Oryctolagus cuniculus: one gene and its partners. The protein of the gene in region 5 interacts with the protein of the main gene of each other region in a pairwise test. Links are inferred from orthologs where the notes say so. Each region holds a gene or a part of one and is shown on either strand. Other genes may lie near its edges.

Region 1 (4,287 bases), on a different chromosome or scaffold from region 5:
AGGTCCATCATTGTGGCATAGAGACACTGCCATCCCATATGGATGCCAGTTCATGTCCTGGCTGCTCCACTTCTGATCCAGCTCCCAGCTAACACCCCTGGCAAAGCAGCAGAAGGTGTTCCAAGTGCTTGGGCCCCTGACACCCACGTGGGAGACACTGAAGAAACTCCTGGCTCCTTGCTTCGGCTTGGCCCAGCCCCAGCCCCAGCCATTATGGCCATCTGAGGAGTGAATCAATGGATGGAAGATCTTTCTCTCTCTCTCTATTTTTCTCTCTCTCTCTTTGTCTGTAACTCTGACTTTCATATAAAATAAATAAATCTTTTGAAAAAGAGATGTAAACCTATAAAATGTTTGGGCATAAAAAGTGAAAAACACTTTTTTAGTTTTTAAAACTAAAAACACATGTGGAAGTGATGCTGTTTTATCTAGTAAGTGTTCTAGACACATGTCAGGTAAGAAAACTGCAGTAACAGACAATAAAAAGGGTAGAACAGTAGAACAGATACTTTTGTGAGTCTGGGATCCCTTCTGTGATGTGCTAAAAGTTTTAATGGAGGAAGTTCACATTTGCAAGAAGAGCTGTGTTCTCTACATTCTTGATGGAGGACTCCATCAGTGATGCCAGGCCATGACTGTATATTAGAATCTCCGGGGAAACTTTCATTAAAGAAAAAAAATTGCTAATTCTGGGTGCTTCTCTAGGGATTTTGATTTAATTAGTCTGAACTGGCAACAGTAGTTTTAAAACTAGTCAAGTTATTAACTACAGTGAGAGTTGGGCACTAACTACTTGGCTAGATTTGAAAGGGAGAAAGAAAGAACAAAAAAGAGAGAAGAGAAAATTGAATAAGTCATCTTTCATCCCCTTTTCTCCTTAGAATTAGGTAGTGTTTCCAAAAGAGTGACATGGTCACAGATAGTGCTTGAGATGGTATTTGATTTGACATCATATGGAAAAGCCTTCATTGAATATATGTATCTTTACATATATATATATATGGAAATGTATACATGTTTGATAAATATTAGAAACACAGAGCAGCAAACCAAATTTAAGATTTCATATATATTATAACTTAGGATGAGCTCAAGAAAGTACTTAAGTTTAGAGAGTGAGTCTACTGAAGTGAACGTTCTGTAAATTCTGGTACAGGTAGAAAGAAATACTGCAAAAACTTCCGAAAGAGGTAGGAAAACACCTGGAGGTTGGGGAAAAGCAGCCCGGAACCTATCAAATCTGTCTCCCCAGACCACTCCTGTTCTCCGACAGCGTGCAGCCAGCCCAAAGCCATCATCTCTCTGCTTTTGTTAAATAGATGCCAGTGCCTCAGCTCAAGCATTCCGATGCTCCTGAACCCGGCTTCGACTCAACCCAGCCTCTCCGAGTCCCGCAGTCAGGATCCAGTTCCTGATGCCACAGATGCCACTTCTCTCAGATTCAAACCTTAGCTACATTTAATGTGGAGTGGTGTGACCACCTTTGTACAACACCATGAAAAACAAAACAAACAATGCTCACAGGGCATCGCAGCCTCGCAAGCGCAAAAGCGAAACCGAGATGACCCAAATGCAGGTTATGCAAACTCCAACCTGAGGGTGAAGGGAGAGACAAAAACCCCAAACCAAGCAAACAAAACCAGCCTGTGGAAAAGGCCTTACTTCGCTAACATTTCACTCTTTATTTGCCATTCTCAGGCATGATGCAACCTCCATTGCCCAATTTATATTTGCACATTCCCGCCTGTCCACAACCACCTTCAGAAGCTTCCAACTCCATAAAATTCCTTTTAAAAAGTTCAAGTGAATAGAGCAGGAAGAAAAAGCCAGGTGACTCCACCTTTCTTTGAGCCCCACAAAGTATGCTGAGGTTTGGATTCCTGTAGGAAGACAGGCAGGCCAAGAAGGACTTGACAACCACGCATCCATCTTTCCGCCACAGTTCTCACGCCCACTTGATGAAGAACTGCCAAGAGCGGCGTGCACACCTCACCCTTCTCCCTGCCCTGCCTCTGCTCCCTGTCCTTTCCCCAATCCAAAGGGCACCAATGATGGCAAGGGTGAGCGGGGGAGAAACCGTGCCCAGGTCATCAGCCCTCCTCCTCCTCCTCTCCCTGCCGGCTCTTGCCCTCGCTTTCCACATTGTGGAAGACTCCCGGTCACCCAGTCATCGCTTACACCTTTGCAGCACCCAACAAAATGGCAGGTTAGCAACAGGCGAGACTCAGATCCCTGGCTCCCATTCTAGCCAAGCCGGCCCCCTGCCAAGCCCAAACAGCCCTTTTCTCTCCAAGTCCCCAGTCCTCCGCCCCGCCCGTCCACCTGCGCCTCTCCCGAGGCCATTTCCGTGGCCGGCGGGGGAAACAGGTGCCGGCGTAACAGGTGCCAAGGCGAAAGGGCCCAGGCGCCCGCGCCAGGTATGCAGAGGACCACGGGAGGGGGTGCAGGGAAAGGCCTCGTCAAACAGGAGGCGGCCGAGGGCTGGCTCAAAGGTGGAGACCGGCGAGGCCGGACAAGGATGCCGCCGCCTGCCCTATCCCGCGGGCGCGACCCTGGCCGCCGCTGCCCCACTTACAATCTCCAGGCAGACGAAGGCACCCGAGTAGGTCCGCAGGATGGCGAGGCCGGCGGGCAGGGTGACTCGGGGTGCCGGGAAAGACACTGCGGGGTTCGGGGGCGGCGGGACTGGCCCTCCGGCCGACATGCTGCCGCTCCGCTGCTGCGTCTCCGCGCGCCGCCGCCGCCGGCTCCCGCCTCCGCCTCCCGGCGCAGCTCCGGTTCGCGGGGTCCGGGCGCGCGGAGCGGGAGGGGGCGTGGCCCTCCGCAAGCGAGGCCCCGCCCCGTCACGTGGGCCCAGGTGAGCGCACCTCCGCCCGGCGCCCGAGGCGGTCACATGCACAGGTGCGGCCGCCGCCTGGCACCCTCCTTGCTGCCCAGCTCTCCTTGCCCCTCCCACTCCGCGAGCTAGCGCCCAGTGCTTCCCGGAGTCTCCCAACACCCGTCCCCACGGCCCTGCTCTACTTTTTACCTTCTGTCGTTCTTAGTTTCCACCTGTTCTCACCTGGCTCCGCCTCCACTCCAGTCTCACAGCCCGGCTTCGCCCAGAATCCACAATTTGAGAGGAGAGCAGGTATTGGGGCTATGACTCAAGAGGCAAACTCGAGGTCATAAGTCACACCTGAGAAATGAAGGACCTGTGTTCTAGGACGGACCGAGTAGGGTCTTTGCTCCCGCACGGATTGGCTGTAGGTGAAGTTTGCAGGCACGGAGCCCTCCAGGGAAATGAGGATGAGGGCATTTACCACGCATAGATGTGCACATCAGATGGCACAGCGGGCAAGGGGAAAGAACTTGGCACATAGTAAACGCTTCTCGAATGGTAGCTGCGTAGGACAGCAGGTACATGATGCTGCCTGGAAGATTGTATTTTCCACATAGAAATTTAATCCTTAATTTCACCTGTATGAAGCTGACTTCTTTCCTTTTTAACATTTAAAGAGACATAAAAATGTATTTGAGAGACAGAGCAAAAGAAGGGGAGAGAGCGAGAAAGAGGGAGAGGAGAGAGGATGAGAAAGAGAGAGAGAAAGAAAGAAACACTCCCGCCTGCTGGTTCACTACCCAAATGCCTTCAACGACGAGGGCAGGGAACAAGGAACCAGCCCCATAAACGCCATCTGGGTTTTCCCACATCAGGCGCAAGCACCTGATTACTTGAGCCTTTATGCTGACCCCCAGGGAGGGGAAGCTGAAATCAAAAGTGGAGCTGGAACTGAACCCAGAAACTCTGACATGTGATGCAAGGGTCCCTAGTAGGATCTTAATTGCTGCTCCAAATTCCTGCCCCAAAACTCTTTGAAGGTTTTTTTTTTTTTTTTTTAAAGCATTCTATGTGTGGTTTAGATCTCCTGCCAGATGTATCTCCATTTTATTCCTGGTTTTAATGTCCACACTTTGTAAGTGAAACAAAGCAGATGAAACAAAGCAGCTGAAGATCAACAAAGCTGCACACAGCAACACATACATATTGTTTAATTTGGAAAAAATATTAGTGGACATGGTCAGACATTTTCCAGACTGGATCTTACTCTTGTCTTTCAGGTTTAGCCTTTGAGGAACTGTGGTTATCTCTGTACACTACTCAGCAAGTTGTAGTTACCTCATTATTTTAATAATCGAAACTCATAGGTGTGGTGGTGGCATCGGGTAAAAGCCACAAAGCAGGGTGTGGGTGAAACCTTTCTTTATACCTCCTATCATCTCTCCCTCTTAGTCATTACTTTCTGA
Region 2 (3,976 bases), on a different chromosome or scaffold from region 5:
GTGCAGACATCACAAGCAGCAGCCTGACCTACGTTACACTACAACTTTGGCCCTTATTTTTGGCTTTTTGATGTTAAAATGTATTTGCCTTACCCATGGGGTAGTAAAACATGTATGATTACAGAATGTAGATTAGATTTACAGTTTCTTGTATATAGAAAATGGTCTACACCAGTGTCTTACCTCTGCATGAGATAAGTGATTTTTACTTCAGCAAAATGTGGCATAATTTCAAGTCTGAAACCAAAAAGTTTTTTTCTTTGTTGTTTGCTTATTTTTTTTTTTGAGAAAGTGCTTCCATCTGATGACCATCCTATGCCCAGTATTACCCCAGTGGCCAGGGTTGGGCAGGGCTGAAACCAGGAGCAGGGAACTCAATCCAGGTAGCCCACGTTGGTGGTGGGATCCCTCCACCTGAGCCATCACCACTGCCTCACAGTCTGCGTGCACAGGAACGCTAGAGGCCAGACCCAGAGCCAGACATTAAACCCAGGCACTCTGTGTTCTAAAGACTTATTTATTTTATTCATTCATTCATTCATTCATTCATTTGAAAGAGTTACAGAGAGCAGGAAAGACAAAGAGATCCTCCACCCACTGGTTCACTCCCTAAATGGCTGCAGTGGCCTGGCTCAGCCACTCAGACAGGATCCAGGAGCTTCATCTGGGTCTCCCACATGGGTACAGGGGCTCAAGTACTTGGCCCATCTTCTGCTGCTTTCCCAAGCATATCAGCAGGGAGCTGGATCAGAAACGGAGCAGCTGGGATTCATGCCAGCATCGCAGTTGTTGGCTTTACCCAAAAAACCCAGGCCCTCTGATATGGGACACAGACAACTTCAGCCCCTGAAACGAGAAATTTTTAAATTTCTGGGCATCATTCTCCCCTCCCAGCATACGCAGTAGTATTTAAAGAGTGGTTAAACTAGGGAACAACAGTGCCTTCAGGAAAATTGCTCACCTCTGTGTTGCCACGACTGACTCTGCTCTTCTCCTTACAGACCCAGATCGATCACTATGTCGGCATCGCTCGGGACCAGACCAAGTCGATCGTTGACAAGTGAGTACGTTTAGGGATCTCATGTCATCGCCATTGTGCTTTGTTCTTCAGTGGTGCATAGTCCTCTGTATAAAATGCTGCTTACAAAGAAAGGTACCTTCACCCTGAAGAAAACCTTGGTTAATAGCTTGATTTAGTAAGAAATTATTTTCACCACTTTAAAAAACATGCTGTGTCTCAGATTACAAAGGAGCAGTGGAATGAAGACCACGCTGCCTTTTTGAACAGCTGGTGGTTTCCCCACCTCCGTGACTGCTTACATCGAGGAGTATCCTTTTTGTCTTAAATTATTCACAACAAATAAATGTGAACCCAACACTTCAAATTAAAATGCTAACATTTTTCTGTTTTCTTCAGATAGTAAGAAACAGAGTCACAAAGAGTTAAAACCTCTCTGTGCCCTAAGTTACTTTCACAACTTTTCAGGAGGAAACTGTGCATCCAGAGAAGTCTGACTTGATGCCAGACTGCACTGGTGCTAACGCCAGGCTGGCTGCAGCACCAGTCCCCATCTGGTGGTTTGGTTTGTAAGAGGTGGTTGGGGCGTGATGGTTTGGTCGCCAGGGTCAGCTGCCGTGGGTCCTCTGCCGCGGGTGTGATACTTGTGACCTTAGCAGCGGGTGACCGGAGTGACACCTTCGCCAGAGCAATGGGCAGCTTTGGTACCCTGCCAGGGGCGGGGGGCAGCTCCTGCAGTTGGGAGCACCCAAAACCAGGACCCATGGCCTCCTCACCTGTCTCCTTGACCCTGACTTCTGGTTCCTCGCCAGCACCAGAGGGTGACCTGTGGACATGGAACACTGTGTTCAAGTCCCCACATTTTTCTGCGGACCCCTGGTGTGAAAGGGACAGGGGTGGGGTGGATCTTTCCAGACCTTCCTCCCACCCCAAGCTCGCCCTACGCCAGACTCGGCCGCCACTCACACCCTGCTCCCTGTGAAGACAGGAGACTTCCCCACGGAGCCCGCACCTCTTCTAGCACCCCTGTTGAAACTGAAACTTGGGACAAATTTTTCACTTCCGTTGTACTTTTCTTTTCTCAATAGGATCCAAGCAAAGCTCCCCGGAATTGCCAAGAAAAAGGCAGAATAAGCACGTGGAAGCCAGAAATGCAACAGTTACTAAACCCCACTTCCTAGTTATAACGTCCTGACTTGTGAAGGCGCGTGCTCAGTGCCAGCGTGAGCCTGCATTCCAAGCTTTGTTTTTTAATTTGGTGTTTTCTCCCTTCCCTTCCCTTTGCCCTTAGTATCAAGCACAAGAAATGTTGGACTAGAAGAACTGATATCTTAGAGGAATAAGGAAAGACTCAGATTAGTGGGATGGATCAGTACCTTAGTGGTGGAGGACCGTTGCCCTGCAGCTCGGCAGGGGACAGGTGGGCAGTGAAGGCGGGGCGAAGGACCGAGCGACTCCTGCAGCTCCGCTGTAGCTCTGCCCTTGTTTTTAAGTTAAGAAGCAATGATTAACACATGAAGAAGCTATCTGAGGACAGGAGTGGGATGCCTTCCCTGGGGTTCCCCAGAGCCCTGCGATCCCATCCTCCCGCCCTCCAAAGTGAGCAGCTATTGCTAACAGTCCTCTTCTTCGCTTAATGGAACAGCTTCCAACTCTGGATAACCTAACGGGCTCGCGAGAATTCCTGATTCCCAGAGTGGAAGTGGAAAGTAGACTTGTCCTAGGGGCAGGAGGGCTCCGCCGTCTGGGAGGGGTGTCTGCGTGTCGCCAGTTCTGGGCAGTGATGTGAGAACTCATTCCTGGGTGTGCTCCCCTCTTCCCTGCCCACCTCCCCTCTTTAATAAATATGGTTGTACTTTTCTTATTATGAAATAAATGTCTGTAACTGCTGTACACTGCTGTAAACTTGTTAGAGAAAAAATAACCTGCATGTGGGCTCCCCAGTTACCGAGTTATTGTGACCCTGTCTCAGTCCGTGGGGGGAATGGCCTCACAAGGTGACCTACAGAGACACAAACAGCCTTGTTTCTTTGTGTTTCCCTTGTGACTTGCTTCATCACGTGCTGCATCTTTAACCTGTGTTCATCAGTTTCGCCTGAGGACCAAAGCCAAGCCGTGCCACATGACCACAGATCAGTGTAGGGAAGTGCAGTTCATGGTCTTAGGGAGTTGTAAGTGCTTTGTGCTGGCTTTATGGGTCTGTGTTTTGAGGGTTCTTTCCATTTGCAGGCACAAAGTGCCTCAGCTCTGCCCTGGCCCAGGGTGTCCCTGCGGGGAGTTTTCCAGGAAGTTCTAGGTGAAGGTGACCAGGCAGGGGGTAGCGCGTGTTGTGGGGCTGTGCGCATGGAAGGAACATCAGGTGCAGGGCAACTAGGAAGGTTTGGCTCCGCTTTGAGACTAAGTTTCTTCCTCCCCTTCCCCATGAGACATCTGTGAACTTGAAAGAAAAGTCATCCGCGAGCCCCTTCAGTCACGGCCACGCAGGGGCACTGAGAACTTCCAACCAAGTAAGGGCTGCCATGTGCGATGGTGGCAGGAAGCTGTCTTGTCTACAGTTTTTGGGGAAATTTGCTTAGGAATTTAGATGGGTGAGAGGTACCCTTGCCTTACTCCACTTTCTTTTCTCAGTCCCCTCTCCTTGTGATTGTTTGATTTCACATCGCAGTGGGAGATGCACTCCGTCATCCTCTGCCTCCCAGGAAGTCGATGCACTGATTGTCTTTTGGGCCCCCCCCAAAGGACCTCTGCACTGGACGCCTCCAGACCCAGCTTGTCTTCTGTTGCTGCTGTCTTTAGATAATTGGAGAGATCTTTGTGCCACGCAGGATTTTTTTTTAAAGAAAAACCTATAGATGAAAACATTACTAATGAAACTGTGCGTGTCTGTGCGTGCAACATACGAATACAGTAGCACCTACGGAGCTTGACTCTTGGTTCCTGTAAAACTGCAAATTGATG
Region 3 (4,121 bases), on a different chromosome or scaffold from region 5:
CAACGGTGGCCCCTGGTCGGCTTCCCCCTTAGCCACTGCTCTCCTCCTCCCTGGGTGGTCCCCACTGCCTGGGTCCCTGGCCATTGCCCACCTCCCATCTCATACAGAACACAGTCCAGCAATCCCTGCCCCGTAACTGTGGTGGCCACAGCAACAGCATTGAGCTTAGAGAGGAATCGAGGAAATTCTACCTGAAGTCCAGAACCCCAACCCAAAATGTGTCATCTCTCTGGCTGAAAGAAGCTCCTGTGACTAAATAAAAATGAGGGGACTTCCCTCCCCCCCACTCTCTCTTTCTCTCACACACACACACACACACACACACCAAAGGCATCGATCTATTGCCGACCTCTTAAATGTTATCTGCCCAAGGTCAATATTCCTGGCCTGGGTCTGCCCTTAGTGCCCTAATTTGTTTCCTCATTCTCATAGAATCCCCCTCCTAGCAGAGACCAGCAAGCATCCAATCCTTGATCCCTAAGGCTCAACTAATTTTTACCGTTAGCACCAAATCTGCTGACTTTAACCCAAAATGTTGACCCCTAAGTCTAAATTAGCTCACCTGTAACTTGATTCCTAACTCACCTTTTCACTGTTTATCCTTAAAACTGACCACGACAATATCCTATGATCCTTAAAATGGACTTCTAACCTAATTCCTGTTGTTGACCATTAACCTGACCCTGAACTCTTTTAACTCTGACTTACCTCTGGTCATCCCAGGAAACAAAATAACGACCTCAACCTCAACCTCACTTATTTATAAAACGGATCTAAATCACGCCAATAACTCAAGCGTTAACCCCGGCCTTACACCTCCTAAAGAGACCCTTGATTCCCAAACCCAACCCCACCTAAACCCAGACTCATCCACAGCTCTCCAGCCCAACATCCCCGCTATCAGCAAACACCAAAGCCCATCCCCGCCCTGCGCCCCGCGGCCGCCACACTCCTCACCCTTCCCCAAAACCTATTCCAGGCCAAGGACTGCTCCCGCAGAGGAGCCACCTCCCGCAGATCGGCCTGCCGAGACACCCTGGAAGCTGACGTCTCCCCCAGAACCCGCCATAGACGCGCCGCAGTCAGGGGCCGCGCCCGCCCGCCTCCCGGGCCAGACCTCGCGGCCCCACCCCGAGGTTCCGGCCCGGCCCGCCGCGGCCTACCTGCGCTGCCCGGCTCTGCGCCCCGCCCGCCGGCCCTGCTCGTCCTCCGGGCCCGCTCTCCGGCTCCGGCCTCGCCCTCCCTTCGCCACACTCGGCCACTTCCGTCCCCGGCGCGTCCCCCACCCCCGGGCGGCGCCCTGGGCCCGCGCTCTATGGTTTTGGGGACCTGCAGGAAGCTGCTCTGGCCCCAGCTCTCGATGCTCGCGAGCCCGCCGAAGACTGGCAGCCCCTCCCCGGCAGGAAGCCAGGGCGCGGCGCAATCCGGAGAAAACACCCCAGCGGCGCCCGAGTTCCCTGTTACACTCGGACTCTTCCTTTTTTCTAGCTCGGGGCGAAGGCGGAGGCGAGTCGCCGGTGTCCCCGCCCCCGGGGCGGGGACGTCCCCCTCATTTGCATCGCCCCCGGGACGTGGCGCAGCACCCGAGCCACTTCCGGCTCGGAGGGAACTACAAGTCCCGAGAGGCCGCGGGGCCGCGTGCGTCACTTGTGCTGTGTTGGAGGCCGAGGGCGACGGAGTCCGGCGGGTGGGTGGGTCGGGCTTGACAGCGACTGCCGCCCCGGCAGCGGGGAAGGCCAGCCGAAGAGGAGCGGTGGGTAGGCGGGAGAGACCCGGCGGTTGGGCTGGGGGTCGTGCCTGGGGCTCGCGTATTGGAACCGGGCTGCGAAGTGAACCCTTGAGTTTCTGCCGTAGATGTCGCAGATGGAGCTGGCGTTGGACCCTGGCGATCAGGACCTGCTCGGCTTCCTGCTCGAGCAGAGCGGAGCATGGGGGGAGGCAGCCGATGAGTCGGTGGAGGCGCCCCCGGATTGGGAGCTGCCGCTTTCCGAGGTGGGTGGGTAGGGCTCCGCGTCAGGGAGGCGCGGCACGTCCGCGAGACCCGGGTGTCAGTGACAGGCCAGGGCCTGGGAATTTGAACCCGGTGCAGGTACTGAGCGACTGGGAGGCAGAGGATCTGCTGAGCACCCTGCTGAGTCCCCCGGCGTCGTTGGCCGACCTCAGCTCCTGCGAGCCCTCGCCTGTGCACCACGATCACACTTACTCCCTCCCACAGGAGCATGTCTCCGTGGACGTAGGTGAGTGACATCAGAAAAGTTGGGAGCTAGAGGAGAGGGTCCGTGGGCCCGGCTAGTCACAATTGCCCTTTTGCAGATAGTGGGAGCTATGGGAAGGAGGAGGCTCCGATGACTCCGCTGTATGTGGAGGAGCCAACAGAGCAGGTAGCTGACTTGATTTTCAGGAGGCTTATCCCCACATTGCACGGGGCGGGGCGGGGCGGGAATTCCCATTTCTTTCGGACATCCCCATGCAACTGCTGCCTACTTCCCCGTAACCTCAGGAGGTTGCTAGGCTGGTACTGACCGAGGAGGAGAAGAGGCTACTGGAGAAGGAGGGGCTTACTCTGCCTGGAACGCTTCCTCTCACCAAGGTAAGGCTCCCATTGGTGGGGCAAAGGCTGGAGGGTGTAGGGGAGGGAGAGTGCAGAGAGGCTGGTCGACCTGTACCGGAATGCAGTCAGATAGGAGTCACTTCTAACGTTATGCTTGGTAGCAGCTGCATTTCAAAATAGCTAGCAGAGAGGATATTCAGTTTCTGATTCAAAGAAATGATAAATGTCTGCAGTGATACATGTGCCAGTTACCCTGCCCTACTTATTTTTACATTGTATACATTACTTAAATGTCACTCTGTATCCTATAGATGTGTGTAATATCAGTGTCAAAAATAAGATACACTTAAGAGGTGAACATCTTAGCAGAGTTGTTGGTTAATATGCTAGATGCAAGGGTGGATCCTGGTTTTGTGAGGCTTCTAACACATTTTGGTGTTCTAAGAAAAAAGATTTCAGAATTATCAATGCAACATTAGCGTAGGGCCTTGGGCAGGACTGTGCAAGGGAAGGGCTCTGCCACTTGGAGTTCATCGGCTTGGTGGTAATCTACATCGCGCTGAATGGGAGAATTGTTTTAGGGAGTTCAATGAGGCTGGATTAAGCCTTCTTTTTTTTTTTTTTTTTTTTTTTGACAGGCAGAATGGACAGTGAAAGAGAGAGACAGAGAGAAAGGTCTTCCTTTTGCTGTTGGTTCACCCTCCAATGGCTGCTGGGGCTGGTGCACTGCGCTGATCTGAAGCCAGGAGCCAGGTGCTTCTCCTGGTCTCCCATGGGGTGCAGGGCCCAAGCACTTGGGCCAGCCTCCACTGCAGAGAGCTGCAGGCCATAGCAGAGAGCTGGCCTGGAAGAGGGGCAACCGGGACAGAATCCGGCGCCCCGACTGGGACTAGAACCCGGCGTGCCGGCGCCGCAAGGTGGAGGATTAGCCTAGTGAGCCACGGCGCCGGCCTGGACTAAGCCTTCTAACAGTACAAATGTAGAAGCATAAGTTTTAAGTTTCAACACTGGGTGGTGACTTCACAAGCACAGTATTGTGACCCTGTAATAAAATAAGTACTTATTAAAGAAATTTTAACTTCTTAAAAGTACAAGATGAGTCAGCAGTGAGATATGGCAAAGCAAGTGGGATGTGGAAGCAGCGTCAATACATGCATTGTCTCTAAAAAGGCAAGACTGTCTTGCTGTCTTTTGTACAAATCACAGTGCATTTTAAGTGCCCAGTTTTGGGCCTGTATCTTTGACAGATACCAAGAGGATGCAGTGATGGTGAAATGTTGGGTTAAGAAGTCTGTCCAGGGTTTTTTTGTGTGTGTGTTTTTTTAAACTCTGAGGAAATGCCAACAGCCTTAAAACAGCTATGTAGAATTTTGTTCTACACGACCCCAGAGATAAGTTCAATGGATAGAAATTACATGGAGGCAGATGTTAATTCAGGGTAAGAAATTTTTCAGTGAATGAAATTGTTAAAAATGCTCTGGCACCTGTGATCTTAACACCTGGTCTTTAGAGGCATTCTGATGGAAACCAAAATGGCTACTGGTTAGGGAGGCTAGACAAGGGATTCCTG
Region 4 (3,509 bases), on a different chromosome or scaffold from region 5:
ACCTCCTCTCTGGTGCCAGTTCGAGTCCTGGCTGCTCCACTTCTCTTCCAGCTCCTTGCTAATGGCCTGGGAAGGCAGTAGAAGATGGCCCAAGTCCTTGGGCCTCTGCACCCATGTGGGAGACCCAGAAGAAGCTCCTGGCTTCAGATCGGCCTGGCTGCAGCAGTTGTGGCCATTTGAGGAGTGAACTAGTGGATGGAAGACCTCTCTCTCTCTCTCTCTCTCTCTGCCTCTCTCTCTCTCTAATTCTTCATTTCAAATAAATTTAAAAATCTTAAAAAAAAAAAAGAGGCACCCTGCCGCACATGAGGCCGCGTCGTGGGCACGGTGAGAGGGCAGGCCAGCCCGGACCGCGCTGCCTGGGTCTTGCATGCAGCCGAGCAGAGGGGCAGGAACACGGCTGTAAGCCGACTCTTCAAGCCCAGCCCTGCCGCTCGGCAGCTGTGCGAGCCCTGGCGAGTTGCTCAGCTTCCCTGTGCCTCCGTTCCCTCATCCCCAAGACGAGGGTAAGAAGAGTGCCCGCCTCCCAGAGCTGTCACTGACGCAGAGCACGGAGGCGGGTGACGCTGACGCACTCGGGACTGTTGCAGACAGCAGCCGGTGCCCTGTGAGCTGGCCGGCTCTCACTGAGTTGACAGCAGTGTGGTGGAGCCACGCCCTGAAAACTGAACCGGGCAGGCACGTGCTGAGAGGCAGCGAGGAGGGTGGGGAGGGGAGGGGTCTCGGAGTTAGCATCTGAGCTGAGACTGACAGGACCAGAGGGGCGCGTGCTCAGAGGCCGAGCTGTTTTATTCCCGACAGAAAACCAGTGGAGAATTTTTAGCAGGGCACTGACCTGTCTCATTGCCGATACTGTTGCTATTTCGAGAACAGACTGCAGGGGGCAGGAGTGGGAGCAGGGAGACTAGTGTGGGGTGGCCTTGGCCTTGGCCGTGGCCACTGGTGCTCGGGCGAGGATGGGACCATGTGACCGGATTCAGGATCTAGGGGGCAGGTAGAGACGGTGCCAGCGGCCTCGCAGACTGCACGGCTTCTCAGGAGGCCTGGGACCCTGTGCAGGAGGGAGGGGCTGCAGGAGGGGCGGGCGCCTGCCGGGTGGGGGCCCCCTGACCTGACCAAGGTGCCTCTTCCTGCAGGGGCTGCATCGTGTTCTCAGGATCCTACGCCTGGGCCAACTTCACCGTCCTGGCCTTGGGCGTGTGGGCCGTGGCCCAGCGGGACTCCATTGACGCCATAAGCATGGTGAGCCTGGGCCGAGCCGGGGCCCTGCCGTGTTTCCCTCGCCCAGCCAGTCTGCTCCCTCCGCCTCGGGCCCCATTGTGCACGGGTGCAGCCTCGGAACTGAGCCTCCTGGGCTACCAGCCCGCCTGGCCTTCACTGGCCTGGCCCGCTCTGAGAACGCAGGTCTGCTCTTGCGGGCCCCAGGGAGGACGCGGGCTCCACGTGGCACCCCAGAGTGCCTGCTGTCCCCAGCAGTCGCTCATGACCCTGGGACCTGCCTCTGGGGCTCTCAGGAGGGATGTGGCCACAAGGGAAGCCCACTGCTTCGTGACATCGGCGACACAGCTCTGCTGATGGTGTGGGGCTCCCAGCACGTGCTGTGCCGGGAGGTGGTGAGCGCCCAGCAGGAGACTCTTCAGGCTGAGGCCGTGGCCTCTCAGGGTGATCAGGAAGGGAGTTTCTTTGTGGTGGAGACAGATGGGTTGGATTGCAGGGGGCCTCCGATTTGGAGGCTCTGGAACCAAGCCTGGTCCCCATCACGGCGCCAGGGGTGACGGGGAGGTGGGCAGGGCTGGGGCTGTGATGGTGCCAGCAGCCTGGGTCCAGCCCTGGGCCCTGGCATCCCCACTGGAGCCCCTCCGCAGGGGTCTGCCAGCAGGTCCTCAGCACCCGGCCAGGCGCGCGCTGCCGCAGTGGGGTGGCAGCAGGGGTACCGGGGGCGGGGCGGGCTGTCACAGGATGGCGTGTCTTGCAGTTTCTGGGTGGCTTGCTGGCCACCGTCGTCCTGGACATAATCCACCTCGGCGTCTTCTACCCGCGGTCCGGCCTCTCGGACACCAGCCGCTTCGGGGCTGGCATGGCCATCCTCAGCCTGCTCCTCAAGCCCGTCTCCTGCTACCTCGTCTACCACATGTACCAGGAGCGCGGCGGGGAGCACCTCTTCCACTCAGGTGAGGACGCCGCCCCGGCCGCTCGGTCTCCCCATCCCGGGAAGGGCAGGCACGCGACCCTTGCCAGCTGTCAGCCTGAGGCCGAGCTGGGGTGTGGCTCACTTCCCGGGGGCAGCTCTGGGCAGTCTGCGGCCTGAGGCCCGCCCTCGGTGCCCACCTGCTCCTGGCCCTGGCCCCCCTCTCCGGCACATGGGGACTCCCCGGTCCTGTGCAGAGCCCATGCTGGGTGGGCTGGGAGCGTCAGCAAAGACACCACGGCCCCGCCCAGCCCCACGCTTGCCCACGCCTGCGCTCTCAGAACCGGTCTCCCTTCTCATGGTGCTGAGCCAGTGTTCCTGCCCTCTTGATACATGACCTCACTTCCTCCCCCTCCCCTGAGAAGTGGGGAGTGGTGGGGTGTAGGCGTCTACTTTCTACTCCTGGGAACAGAGGCCTGAGTTTCCCATGATTGACCTGGGAGAGCAGCTGGGGCCCCTACCCTGGCAACCTCAGCAGTGCCTGCACCTGCCCCAGGGTGGAATGCCCGCCCATTGCACAGATGAATAAACTGAGGCCCACAGACTGGGACTTGTTCAGGATCCCAGGACAAATGTGCAGGGTGCTTGGAGGCCCACCACCCTGCCAGGGACCTGGCTCACGTCCTCTGGGCATGGCCACTGTGCAAGAATCCAGATATGGATATCTCTCCTGGATATGGTATTGCGATGTCCTGTGGCTGGCATCCGTGGGCCGGGGTCCTGAGCGCTGCTGGGAAGCATGTTCCCCGGGCCCTGCTGCCACGCTTTGAGCCAGGCTGTGTGACCTCGGCAGGGCTCTGACCCCTTGAGCCTCGGTGTCCTCACCTGCAAAGGGAGGGCGATGAAAGTACCTGCCCCGTGGGCTCATGGGGGGATTGAACAGTGCACCGTGGAGACACGGGGGGATTGAACAGTGCCCCGTGGACTCATGGGGGGATTGAACAGTGCCCCGTGGGCTCATGGGGGGGTTGAACAGTGCCCCGTGGGCTCATGGGGGGGTTGAACAGTGCCCCGTGGGCTCATGGGGGGGTTGAACAGTGCCCCGTGGACTCATGGGAGGATTGAACAGTGCCCCGTGGGCTCATGGAGGGGTTGAACAGTGCCCCGTGGACTCATGGGGGGATTGAACAGTGCCCCATGGGCTCATGGGAGGATTGAACAGTGCCCTGTGGACTCATGGGAGGATTGAACAGTGCCCCGTGTAGACACGGGGGGATTGAACAGTGCCCCGTGGGCTCATGGGGAGATTGAACAGTGCCCCGTGGAGACACGGGGGGATTGAACAGTGCCCCGTGGGCTCATGGGGGGATTGAACAGTGCC
Region 5 (4,238 bases):
GGGGGGTGGCCACGAGAGGAAGCTGATGCTTTAAAGAGATCCTCAGGAAGGTGTGAGGATGAGCAGGGGCCAGGGCACAGCAAAGTGTCCAAGACTGCTGGGTTTCTGCAGCCTCACTGTGTAACAGGAGGCACCAACCAGGAGGATCTGCCCCAGAAGCTTCCGGAAGGCAGCGCACACACCCCAAAGGGGCCTGCAAGCACATTACTTTTGCCTGAAAATGTGTTTAGTCTCCACCTTACTTACAAAACAGGATTCCCAAAGAGCTTCTTGCTATTTCCAAAACTCGAATTGACTCTCAAAAGGACAAGGATTTTCCAACACCAAGATATTTTGAAGACGCTGCGGAAGCTGTGAAATCAACCCAAATGAGTTCTGAAATGGTTTGAGCAATGCGTTGGGCAGCATCATGGAATGAAAGTGCCATTTCCCACGACCATCCCTTCATAAGACTCACACACAGTTACTGCTGCTTGCAGACTTTAAAGAAACAGTAACAGTTAAGACTACTCTTAGAGGACATCATATTAAAATAGAAGAGCAAGTATTACTGTAATTAGAACTATGTTTCTTTTATGTTTATTTCAACGTTTTGAAAGACCTGTAGAACATTAAGCATTTTGTAAGACGGGGGGAAAAAAAGAATCTGATGAAAACCTTTTGTGAATATTTCAATATTTATTTTCTCCAGTGTTAATTTTTTAATTTATAATCTATACCATTGTCATACAGACCTGATGCCTTTGAGTTTCATAAACAGAGAAATTTCAAATCTGACAGAGCTGAGGGAGGAGGACAAGGGAAGACGCTGGTGTCTGGAATACCCAGCCAGCCCACCACACCTTAGTACGGACGCCTTCGCCCAGCAGGGGACACCTGCCCACCTCCCTCTGAATGGCGTCCAACTGCAGCGACCAGGCCCCTGGGCTTGTACCAAGCCGAATTATTTTTATTTTTTTTTTAATTTTATTTTTTCCCTGCATGCTTATTTTATCTCACAGCACCAAAAGGCAAAACTGGGTCTGCGACCAAATGTGGAAAATGCCATGTCCACAAATGCGGAGTTAAAGTCAGGGGCTGTTGAATAAGCCCCCTGAGCCAACATCGCTTTGTAAAACCAGGCTGCCCACACCCGGGGGCCTGGCCAGCTGGAAATGGGTCACCCACGTGGTCCACCTTGTCCTTTCTCCCCGTTTTTTCCTTATTTTATCACTTAAAAAAAAACACACACACACACACACACACGGGGAGTCAGCCAGCGGCTCTGTGTGAGCATAGCGGGGGCTGAGCACGGGCCACGCCGAGGGAGATGGAGAAGCCCTGGGCCCCGCCGCGGCGGGCACACGCAGGGGTCCACGGAGGGGTCCACACGGAGGGGTCCACGTCCCCGCGGCCACGGCGCGGGGTTGGGAAAGCTCCCGGGGCCCTGGGCTCGTCCCTTCCCCAACCGCCCCCCCCCCCAATGACACCGCAAACCACTTCCTCCAGGGAACTGAAGGTCACAGCGGTTAGGGACAATGGAGCCCAATGCAAGCTTCCGAAAGATGGAGACGCGCAGGAGAGGTGGGGCAGGCAAGCGGGGCTGGGGGGCTGCGCCCAGCCCGGGCGGCCGGGCCGCCGAGGCCTGCCAGCAAGCCTGGGGCAGCCCTGTCCCCAGCGCCATCTCCACCCTCCCGGGGAACCCCACAAGCCCTGACCAGGGCAAACGGCGCGACACCTACGGCGGGCGCAGGGGCCGGGGCGGCAGGCGGGAGGCGCCCGCTGCGACTGCGGCGAGGCCCGCAGCCCCAGGCCCGCAGGCCCCGGGCCCGGGAGCGGCTGCAGGAGGCAGCGGCCGGCGCAGGCCCCGGGGCCGGACACACCCACCGCGGCGGCCCGCCTTACCTGCTCCTCCTCCGGGGTCAGCTCCGGCGCCATGTCGGGCCGGGGCGCGGCCGCGGGCTCCATCCCGCAGCCGCCGCCGCCGCCTCCCGGCGGACTGGAGTGGCCCGGCGCGCTCGGCCTCCGCTTCCGCTTCCCCGCGCCTCAGCAGCCCGAGGCCGGCTCGCGCATGGCCGGGCGGCGGGGCCCTGCGCCCGCGGCCGCTCCCTGGAGGAAAACCTCTCGGGGCGCCCGCTCGCGTCTGCGGGGAAGACCCTGCTCCTTTTCTTCGCTGCCTCCCTCACTCTCCCGAGGGGAGAAGGCGCAGGCGAGCGGGCGAGCAGACGCCCGGCATCAAAAGAGGAAATGGCAGATCAAGAGCTCGCGGAGGCCGCTGGCCTGCGGGGCCTCGCTGCTGGCCGCGCCGCCGGGCGTCCCCGGGGATGCGGGCCCTGCGCCCCGCGCGGCCGCCTCCCGGCCCGGTTCCTCAAAAGCGGCGGCGGCGAGAGGGAGGGCGCGAGGGGGCGGCGTCCCCCGCCCGGCTCACGGCCGCGCCGCGCCCGCCCGAGCCCCCCGCGGCTCCATTGAGAAAGTGAGCGTCTCATTCACGAGCCGGCGGCGCGGAGGCCCGGGAGCCAGGGCGCCGGCCGGGAGGGGGAGGCGAGGAGCCGGGGAGGGAGGGGCCCGGCGGCCGGAGGCGGCTCCGAGCGCGGGGAGCGCGAGCGGGTGCGTTTCTCCGGGAAACGTCCTCTCGGGCTAACTTCCCGCTGCCGCCTCCGTGCGGGGCGCCAGTCCTCCGGGCCCCACCCCGTCTTTCCTTGTGCCCCTCACCCCTAAACTGACTGCGAGGCTACACCCTGAACCCTCAGAGACAGGGAGAGATGGGGAGGGGAGGGAGGAGAGAGCCTGGGAGAGACGGAGAGGGGGATGAGACAGGGAGAGACGGGGGGAGGGAAGGGAGGAGAGATGGGGAGGGAAGGAGGGAGAGCCAGGGAGAGACGGAGAGGGGAGGGGAAGGAGGGAGGGGGGAGGGGAGGAAGGAGAGAGACAGAGACGGGGAGGGGAGGGAGGAGAGATGGGGAGGGAAGGAGGGAGAGCCTTGGAGGGATGGGGAGGGAAGGGAGGAGAGACGGAAAGACGAGGGGTAGGAGGGAGAGGGGGGAGGGGAGGAAGGAGAGAGACTGGGAACTGGGAGAGACAGGGAGGGGAAGGAGGGAGAGGGGGGAGAGAGAGCCAGGGAGAGATGGGGAGGGGAGGGAGGAGAGCCAGGGAGAGACGGGGAGGGGAGGGAGGAGAGATGGGGAGGGAAGGAGGGAGAGACAGGGAGGGGAGGGAGGAGAGACAGGGAGAGATGGGGGAGGGAAGGGAGGAGAGATGGGGAGGGAAGGGAGGAGATGGGGAGGAGAGGGAGGAGAGAGACAGGAAGAGATGGGGAGGGAAGGGAGGAGAGACGGGGAGGGGAGGGGTAGGAGGGAGAGGGGGGAGGGGAGGAAGGAGAGAGACTGGGAACTGGGAGAGACAGGGAGGGGAGAGAGAGGGGGGAGAGAGAGCCAGGGAGAGATGGGAGGGAAGGAGGGAGAGACGGGGAGGGGAGGGAGGAGATGGAGAGGAGAGGGAGAAGAGAGACAGGAAGAGATGGGGAGGGGAAGAAGGAGAGAAACAGGGAGAGAGGGGGAGGGGAGGAAGGAGAGAGGAGGGAGGAGATGGAGAGGGGAGGGAGGAGAAGGAGAGAGGAGGGAGGAGATGGAGAGGGGAGGGAGGAGATGGGGAGGGGAGGGAGGAGTGGGGAGGGGAGGGAGGAGTGGGGAGGGGAGGGATGGGGAGGGGAGGGAGGAAGAAACAGAGACATGGAGGTGGCAGCAGCAAGTTAGCTCGGGAAGTCACCTGCTGGCGACAACACCCAAAGGTGGGGTTCTCAGCCAGCTGAAGAGGCTGAGTCTGGGTTCTGCCGCCCCCACCCCAGGCTTTGGGAAGCAGCCCAGGGCAGGGAGCAGTGCTGCTGGGCTCTGTTGGTGTCCAGGCGCAGGTCCTCACCCACCCAGGAGTTAATTTCTGTGCTGCACCCAGACTCTGCGGGAAGATGTTATTTACATTTATATGCCAGGCCCTGGGCTAGGCACTGCAGACACCAGAGTGAACAGTCCTTATAAGCATATGGACTGAGGTATCATGGACTGAGAAGAGGGCTTGGTGGGCGTAATATGCTGTCCTTCGAATGAAGAAAAAATGAAATGCATGCACCCACAAAGGCACATGTGCACGGAGCCTTCGGAAGGAAGAACACTCAGGAATGGCAACAGGGTGGCGGGGGGGGGGGGTGAGAGCTGGGAACAGAAGCGAAAGGGGAGACCCCTCCCCACACGGGCTTTCCTGTGTTC

What was found.
Region 1: the proteins of PTPN9 (region 5) and MAL2 interact in binary tests that used the Homo sapiens proteins (3 or more experiments, as listed by UniProt). The two-hybrid records come from large-scale screens. The link is inferred for Oryctolagus cuniculus from reciprocal best matches to the Homo sapiens genes PTPN9 and MAL2.
Region 2: the proteins of PTPN9 (region 5) and RTN3 interact in binary tests that used the Homo sapiens proteins (3 or more experiments, as listed by UniProt). The two-hybrid records come from large-scale screens. The link is inferred for Oryctolagus cuniculus from reciprocal best matches to the Homo sapiens genes PTPN9 and RTN3.
Region 3: the proteins of PTPN9 (region 5) and CREB3 interact in a two-hybrid assay, tested with the Homo sapiens proteins (2 studies listed by BioGRID and IntAct). The two-hybrid records come from large-scale screens. The link is inferred for Oryctolagus cuniculus from reciprocal best matches to the Homo sapiens genes PTPN9 and CREB3.
Region 4: the proteins of PTPN9 (region 5) and AGTRAP interact in binary tests that used the Homo sapiens proteins (3 or more experiments, as listed by UniProt). The two-hybrid records come from large-scale screens. The link is inferred for Oryctolagus cuniculus from reciprocal best matches to the Homo sapiens genes PTPN9 and AGTRAP.

The regions. Positions count from the first base shown.
Region 1 is NC_091437.1:145,008,528-145,012,814, reverse strand, and holds the start of MAL2 (protein MAL2), read right to left. Parts: upstream 2,809-4,287; 5' UTR 2,705-2,808; coding exon 2,576-2,704; intron 1-2,575. UniProt on the Homo sapiens protein: Member of the machinery of polarized transport. Required for the indirect transcytotic route at the step of the egress of the transcytosing cargo from perinuclear endosomes in order for it to travel to the apical surface via a raft-dependent pathway.
Region 2 is NC_091432.1:7,434,869-7,438,844, reverse strand, and holds the end of RTN3 (reticulon-3), read left to right. Parts: intron 1-1,001; coding exon 1,002-1,060; intron 1,061-2,106; coding exon 2,107-2,152; 3' UTR 2,153-3,475; downstream 3,476-3,976. UniProt on the Homo sapiens protein: May be involved in membrane trafficking in the early secretory pathway. Inhibits BACE1 activity and amyloid precursor protein processing. May induce caspase-8 cascade and apoptosis.
Region 3 is NC_091432.1:198,639,757-198,643,877, forward strand, and holds the start of CREB3 (cyclic AMP-responsive element-binding protein 3), read left to right. Parts: upstream 1-1,315; coding exon 1,316-1,753; exon of another isoform or gene 1,754-1,757; intron 1,758-1,854; coding exon 1,855-1,992; intron 1,993-2,089; coding exon 2,090-2,237; intron 2,238-2,313; coding exon 2,314-2,381; intron 2,382-2,500; coding exon 2,501-2,590; intron 2,591-4,121. UniProt on the Homo sapiens protein: Endoplasmic reticulum (ER)-bound sequence-specific transcription factor that directly binds DNA and activates transcription. Plays a role in the unfolded protein response (UPR), promoting cell survival versus ER stress-induced apoptotic cell death.
Region 4 is NC_091438.1:156,693,234-156,696,742, reverse strand, and holds part of AGTRAP (type-1 angiotensin II receptor-associated protein), read left to right. Parts: intron 1-1,136; coding exon 1,137-1,242; intron 1,243-1,975; coding exon 1,976-2,171; intron 2,172-3,509. UniProt on the Homo sapiens protein: Appears to be a negative regulator of type-1 angiotensin II receptor-mediated signaling by regulating receptor internalization as well as mechanism of receptor desensitization such as phosphorylation.
Region 5 is NC_091443.1:108,418,046-108,422,283, reverse strand, and holds the start of PTPN9 (tyrosine-protein phosphatase non-receptor type 9), read right to left. Parts: upstream 2,810-4,238; 5' UTR 1,948-2,809; coding exon 1,885-1,947; intron 1-1,884. UniProt on the Homo sapiens protein: Protein-tyrosine phosphatase that could participate in the transfer of hydrophobic ligands or in functions of the Golgi apparatus.